Canis lupus familiaris: one gene and its partner. The protein of the gene in region 1 purifies or fractionates together with the protein of each later gene. This does not show direct contact. Links are inferred from orthologs where the notes say so. Each region holds a gene or a part of one and is shown on either strand. Other genes may lie near its edges. The genes, in order: KBTBD8 and PKN1.

Region 1 (3,821 bases):
GCGCCAAACCGCTGCGCCACCCAGGGATCCCTGGATTAGTTTAAAGGAGAAGAAAGAACAAAGAATTTTGCGATAAGCCTTATGATTGCGAAGGTCATGAAACTTAATTATAAAGAGTTTGAAATTACAGTCTTTAGATTTTAATTTCACTGCAGTGTATGATATCTTCCATAATATGTTTTCAGTTTTTTTTCACTGAAAAGCTTTGAGATGTCCCCTTTTTCTTTACGTTTGTTATTATAAGCATCTATTTATATCTAATATATTTAGCTTTAAAAAGTGTTTTGTTTAAACTATTGAAGGTTAATACTCTGGCAAAGGTGAGTGTAGAGTAGTAGTAGAAAGAAGCACCAAGTAAGTATAAGTAAGATATTTGATCCGGTCTTCTAATTTGTGATACCTAATGTTTTCTCTGTGTTTGGCTCCTTAAACATTTTAGTTGCTTGAATGTTGAAAGCGATGATGATAATACTGGCATCCTTATTCCTCTTCTGGGTTTCTTAATTGCTTATATGTTTTCCTCACACTATTCGTTTATAAAACAAGGAAAAAAGCGATTCTGTGTAAATATACATGATTTTTTAGCTCTTACACCATTTAAGAGTATGTTCTTCGCTCTCATCTTTTATTTGACTAGAAATGCCTGAACCCACTTGTTTAAACTTCAATATCAAGTTAATTCTCCAAAAGGAATATTAACTATCTAGTACCTTACTATAGTTCAGTAGAAGCACGGGCATGATTAGGTTTGCTCGTCTTGCTGAATATGGAAGATAAGACTGGATGTATAATCTGTCCAGGGTGGTTGGACAGGTTATATCATCCAGTATGATGAAGCTTTCTCTACATATACTTTGGTCTTGCTGGCTAACCATTAGATAGAATTAATTAAAAGACTTCCAGTGGGAAGGTAAAGGTTATATATTAATGTAAATACTAAAAGTAACAATGAATTAATAGAATTTCAGGACTGGAATGAACATTGCTTAATCTGAGGTTATATCTTCTATAAGAGAAATCTGAGGCTCTAAAATTTAGTTTTCTTAATTGCTGTCTGGTTTAAGTTATTAAGAGGACTTCATATTTTAAAAATTAACTTGTGAGTCATCTTTTTATAAGAAATTTGTAGAGAGGTAGTGCATGTTAGGAAGTTTTGTTTTCTATTGTCTTTATTAAGAATCCTGTTAAAACTCAGTGAGGGTAATGTTGGTAAATTGAATTTAAATAAAATATTTTTTTAAAAAGTCAATGAGGGTAGGGTATATATACAACCAAAAGCTGGTGGTTTAATAAGCTCTTCTAAGAAAAATTGAAATTATAGTGTTACTAAGTAGGCAGTTACGTTTGTAGATAAGAGTAAACCTCGTTCAAAACAGTTTTGAAGGGGAAGCTCAATTTAGAAGTAGGTATTTCTAATCTAAACAAAGCTTCTTTATATAAATAAAGTTGATATAAATAGAGGCTTATGCTGCACTATATGCGGCTACTGGAATATCACTTAATGTCCATAAAAGATCCAGATTTTTAAATCAAGGATTTTATACAAATATTATAGCTAGCCAAATTCTTGTAAATCTTCACTAGTTTAATTCTTTTAGACATTTTTATATTGGCAGTCTGACTCAGCCACACCCTTTTATCATCAAAATAGAATTGAAAGTGACCTGAAGTCAACTCCATGAACTGTGTGTTTTCTATCTTATCAAAGCCATGTTTTGTCCTCTTAACGATTTGTGTTATAGCAGCACTAAAGGAAACATATTAATGGCCCATAGACATAAATCTGAACAATTCCATGTGCTATCTTCTAATTAATTAGCATATAAATGTGTAGTGGCTTATTCATGATGAAGCTGTATACATACTTTGATCTTACCGACTAACCATTAGTGATAATGCTCTTTTAGAGCTGGCTTAAAATAAATTTTCTGAAATATACAAGTGAATGGAATAAATGGAGCCAAGCTTTCAACTATTATTCTGCCTCTAAGCCAAAGTAACTCCTTATACCTCCCTACTACAAAGCCCCAAATCAGGTTGACTATAATATTAGGTTATGTTCTGCTGTGGAATGAAGAAGTTTTAAGTTATATTATACTATATAATGTATCTCTGGAGATTATAAAAGAAATATTTTAGAAAGTGAAAGATTCAGAAAATTATGTTTTTCAAAAATTATGCTTTCGGTTCATCTAACCAAAAAGAGACATGTAAATGTATATATTCTTGGTTTTCTTTCTTTCTTTCTTTCTTTCTTTTCTTTTTTTTAGGAGAATTTTTCCTCTTCTATGAGCCTCAAAAAGACTACTGGGGTTTTTTAACCCCCATGACTGTGCCTAGAATCCAGGGCTTAGCAGCTGTCTACAAGGACTCTATCTACTACATAGCTGGAACCTGTGGAAATCATCAACGAATGTTTACTGTAGAAGCCTATGATATTGAGCTAAATAAATGGACTCGGAAGAAGGACTTTCCATGTGATGAGTCCATCAATCCATACCTTAAACTGGTACTTTTCCAGAATAAACTGCATTTATTTGTTCGAGCTACTCAAGTGACCGTTGAAGAACATGTCTTCAGAACCAGCAGGAAAAATTCCCTTTACCAATATGATGACATCACTGACCAATGGATGAAAGTGTACGAGACCCCAGATCGCCTCTGGGACCTTGGCCGGCATTTTGAATGTGCTGTTGCTAAACTCTACCCTCAGTGTCTTCAGAAAGTACTTTAATGAGTAGCAGGCCTTAGTGAGCTCACTGGCATCTTGTGCTTGGAGAACTTAGTCTTTCAATGATACAAGAAGTGCTGTCAGTATTTAAGAAGCTGAGAGAGTTTGTACATGGCAATGGGTGCTCTTAAAGATTACAGTGTAGAGAGGGATTTCTTTTCATCCTTGTGATGTTTTCATTTCATTAAGCAAAAGGTAACAAAGTGCAATTATCAGCATTTTTTTTCTGGTATATAGTAATCATTTTCATTCTAGAATTTTGTGATAATTCATCACTGAGATACCAGATGAATCAACAACTATGCACTCTTATAAGAGCAGTTAGGGTATTATGGTTAGAGACATCCAAACTAGTTTGTTGTGACTTTTTATTTTAAATACGGGTAAAAATTTGAGGCAATATCACTAGGACTTTAGCTGTGACCTCTCCAACACAGAGAAGCACTAACTTAGATCCTCATTCTATAATATATTTGTGTACTGTTTTCAAGTGTACTGAGATTTAAGTGTGTTTTTAGAGTAGGTTGATGGAAAACAAATCCGTCTAAGAAAGAGCTTTTACTCTGCTTGTTTCATATTTCCCATGTAACTTTAAGTTAAGCTAAAGTTTTAAAGTAGCAGTTGTTTTTATTGTTGTTGTTGTTGTTGTTGATAACTTTTTCAAGTGCTGACACTGTCTCATTATTTACGAATCCCGAAAAGGGCTTAAATTCGCAGGTGGCTGGTGCTAGTATAAGTGAATTCATGGGTCTAGCTCTATGGGTTGAAGTTGTTTGAGCCTGTGCTTACCTTTCAAGTTGGTATGCTGGTTTTGTGGCATAGTACTTTACCTGTTGAACTCTTGTGATTTCACAAGATTCTCTGCTTAAGTGATAGCAAGATCTCTAACTGGACTCAGTTTTAGAATAGTGAGAACATGACACTCAGTTTGCACTAACATGGGCCATTTTGTTGCCCAACCTCCTTTCCCATCCTCCACCCATCCCTTCATTATCGGTACAGTGAAAGGTAACTTATTTCTCTTCTGCACAGAGCATAATGTGAAGTTTTCTACTTGCTTTTACGATTTTGTTTTCCAGAAACCTAAAAC
Region 2 (3,821 bases), about 24 Mb from region 1:
TCTCTGGGATAAGGTTCCTGAGCTGAGATTGCTGAATCGAAGGGCAATTACAATTGTGATTTTGATGGATATGGCCAAACTGTCTCCATGTGTCCCTATGCCTGTGTGTCTGTCTCCTTCTGGCTGTCCAAATGGCCATAATGTCCTGGGGACAGGACAGGACCTGTGGATGAAATGGGACCCTGCCAACATGTCCTTTAAGCCTGTGTGGATAGTGTACCTGTGTAGATGACTGTCCCTGTATGACAGCCTAACTCTGTTCCTGGGATAGTCCCTGCGGGTGACAGTGTTTGGACAAAAGAGTGATTGCATCTGGGTGGAAGTGTGACTGACCGACTGTGACCGCTTGCTTGGGAAAAACGTGATACGTCTTGGTGGCCAGTGCCTGTCTCCATGCATGAGTGTGCGTCCGGGGCTGGGGTGGCTGAACCCGGGTCCTAGGCTGGCCTTACCACCTGGCACCCCACGCCCACAGGGAGTCCAGACCTGGGGGCCGTGGAGCTGCGCATCGAGGAGCTGAGGCACCACTTCCGAGTGGAGCACGCCGTTGCCGAGGGTGCCAAGAACGTGCTTCGCCTGCTCAGCGCAGCCAAGGCTCCCGACCGCAAGGCCGTCAGCGAGGTGAGGGGCGGGGCCTCGGCGAGGGGCGGGCCCCAGCAAGGGGGCGGGTCCAGCAAAGGGGCGGGAATTGACCTGGAGGGCCTTGAGGGATGTGGAGGCTTCGGCCGGGGGCGGGGCTTCAGTGGGCGGCACCTCGGTCGGGGGCGGGGCCTTGGTCGAGGGCGGGGCCTTGGTCGAGGGCGGGGTCTAACGCTCCGAGAGCCAAGGAATAGGACCCCGATGGTTTGAGGGGTTAGGCCAGGTAAGACTTAGCTAGGCCCCCCCCCCCCAGCCACACTCTGTCCCTCCCGTCGCAGGCCCAGGAGAAACTAACCGAGTCCAACCAGAAGCTGGGGCTGCTGCGGGAGGCGCTGGAGCGGCGGCTCGGGGAGCTGCCCGCAGACCACCCGAAGGGGCGGCTGCTGCGGGAGGAGCTTGCTGCGGCTTCATCTGCAGCCTTCAGTGCCCGCCTGGCCGGGCCCTTTCCCCCAACGCCCTATAGCACCCTGTGCAAGCCCGCGCCACTCACAGGTGGGTCCTGCCTCCTCAGCTCTGTACTTTGGATGGCCTCTCCCCAAGTCCTGAGACCCCTAACCTAAATCTCCATTCTCCCTACCCCTGGACTCCCATCTCACTGTTCCCTCCGTTCTCCATTCACCCTAACCCTGTAGCCCTGGGCCCCATTTCCCTAGGCCAGACACCCCCATGCACTCTGGACTTCTAGCCCCGGCTTGCCCGCTGATTCTGGACTCTGGCCCCCATGCCCACCATGTCCCCATCACTATCCTTCCCTACCTGGCCCTGGTATTTCCTACAGCCAGAGCCCCCCAGCCCAGTCCCACCACCCCTCACTCTCAGAACCCTCAGTCTGGAACCATTGTCTTCTCCCACCCTAAAGTCAGCCAGCTCCTCCCTCCTTAGACCGCTCAGCTACTACTTCTCCCTTAGAGACCAGCCCTGCCCTAGACCCTTGCCCCCATCTCGGACCTCAGGTCAGCTCCCTGAATCCTACCCCAGAACCCCTAGTCCAACCCAGCTCCCCATTGCCTTGATCATCAGCCTGTGCCCTAAACCTATCTTCTGTCACTAATTCCCAAGCATTCAGAGCCCCTTCCCAGTGTGGCCCACCCCAGTCTCCCCCCTCCCCCTTGTCACGTATTTCTCACTTGGGCACAGCCATCCCAGTATCAGATCTCCTGTTCCACCCTGATTGTATGCTGGCCACATCTGGACATGTCCACTTCACCTGCAGTCCCCACCTTTTGGCCTGGCCCAGATGTGGGTCCCCCTGAGCCTGCCCCTCCCTCAGGAACTCTGGAGGTACGTGTGGTAGGCTGCAAGGACCTTCCAGAGACCATCCCCTGGAGCTCCTCACCCGCGGCAGGGGTGCCTGGGACCCCTGACAGCCGTACCACCTTCCTGAGCCGCCCAGCCCGGGGCCTTTACAGCCGCAGTGGAAGCCTCAGTGGCCGGAGCAGCCTCAAAGTGGAAGCTGAGAACACCAGTGAGTGGGCACTAAGGCCTGGAGGAGTGAGATGCAGTGGGGATCTTAGGGTGTCACACACTTGTAACACTTTAAAAAACTGATACATTACAGTCATTAGGATGGATTCTGTTAAGAAAAAAAAAAAAAGTGTTAGGGAGATAGTAGAGAAATTAGAATCCTCTGCAGTGCTGTTGGGAACATAAAGTCCTTCAGCCACTGTGAAAAAACTAAACATGGAATTACTATGTGATCAGTAGTCCCACTTCTGAGTGTATATACAAAAGAGTTTAAAGAAGGGACTCAAGTTGATAGTTGGACACTCATGTCCATAGCAGCATTATTCACAATGGCCAAAATGTAGCAGCAACACAAGTGTCCATTGACAGACAAATGGCTAAACCAAATGTGGTATGTGTGTGCGGTGGAGTAGGTAGTATTCAACCTTAAAAAGGAAGGGCGTTCTGACACAGGCTACCCCACAGATGAAGCTGAGGACATCACCCTAAAGGAAATAAGCCGGTCACAAAAAGACAAGGACTGTATTATTCCACTTCTATAAGGTACCTAGAGTAGTCTAATTCATAGAAATGGAAGAAGGATGGTTGCCAGTAGTTGGGTTGGAGGGGAGAAGAGAACTTTTGTTTAATGGGGACAGTTTCAGTTGAGGAAGATGAAAAAAGTTCTGGACATGGATGGTGGTGTAGTTGTACAACAGTGTGAACTGTAAACTTGAAAACGATTACAGTGATAAATTTTATGTTATATGAATTTTACCACTTTTTAAAAAATCTGATGTATAGGAAAAAGTATGTATAAAAGAGGAATAACAATGGAACAAACACCCACGTTACCACCACCCAGGTCAAGAAATAGAACTCTCTAGAAACCCCCTTGCCCCTCCTCCCCTTTCTAGTCCCTTTCCCTGTCCAGAGGTAGCTACTCCCCTGACGCATTGTTATCATTTCCCTGCTTTTCTTCGTAGTTTTAGCATCAATGTACACATCTCAAAACAACAGAGTTTAATTTTGCCTGGTGTTTGAACTTTACATACGTGGAATCATACAGAATGTATTCCATGGTAATGGCTTCTTCCATTTAACATAGTTTGGGAAGTTTATCCATGTCGTTGCATGAAGCTATAGTCCATTCATTTATTTTAACTCCTGTTTATTTATTTTTATATTTTTTTAACTCCTGTTTAATAGCCCATTAGACTATTAGACTGAGCCATATCAATTGTGGGGGCCTTTTAAAGTAAAATATAGTAATTGTTGAATATCAGTTAATAAGGCTATGTTATAGCTTATATATTCTATTTATAGATATTTCTAGTTTGGGTCCCTTATATACGCATATATGGATATATATGTATATATGCATCTCCCCATTATACCTGCATGCATTTTTCCAGGGTAAGTTCTTAGGAGTATATTGCTAGAAGTTGCATATAAAGCGAAAGTGAATTTGGATCTCTACCTCACATCATACACAGAAATCAACTGGAAGTTGATTAAACGCCTTGATGTGAAAGCTTTGTGAGGGTAGCGTAGCAGAATGTGATGGGTGGAAGGGAGGATTTCTTTACTAAGATATGGGCCAAGATGCCTCCCCCCAACTCCAAACATTTCCCGACATCCTCCTCCACCCCTCATTCCAGGCGAGGTTAGCACGGTGCTCAAGCTGGATAACACGGTGGTGGGGCAGACATCCTGGAAGCCATGTGGCCCCAGCGCCT

The links.
Region 2: the proteins of KBTBD8 (region 1) and PKN1 purify together in Homo sapiens (affinity purification with western blotting; 3 studies listed by BioGRID and IntAct, with this or other methods). This does not show direct contact. The link is inferred for Canis lupus familiaris from reciprocal best matches to the Homo sapiens genes KBTBD8 and PKN1.

Annotation. Positions count from the first base shown.
Region 1 is NC_049241.1:24,609,662-24,613,482, reverse strand, and holds part of KBTBD8 (kelch repeat and BTB domain-containing protein 8), read left to right. Parts: intron 1-2,270; coding exon 2,271-2,734; 3' UTR 2,735-3,821. UniProt on the Homo sapiens protein: Substrate-specific adapter of a BCR (BTB-CUL3-RBX1) E3 ubiquitin ligase complex that acts as a regulator of neural crest specification.
Region 2 is NC_049241.1:48,568,942-48,572,762, reverse strand, and holds part of PKN1 (serine/threonine-protein kinase N1), read left to right. Parts: intron 1-475; coding exon 476-621; intron 622-917; coding exon 918-1,131; intron 1,132-1,909; coding exon 1,910-2,104; intron 2,105-3,743; coding exon 3,744-3,821. UniProt on the Homo sapiens protein: PKC-related serine/threonine-protein kinase involved in various processes such as regulation of the intermediate filaments of the actin cytoskeleton, cell migration, tumor cell invasion and transcription regulation.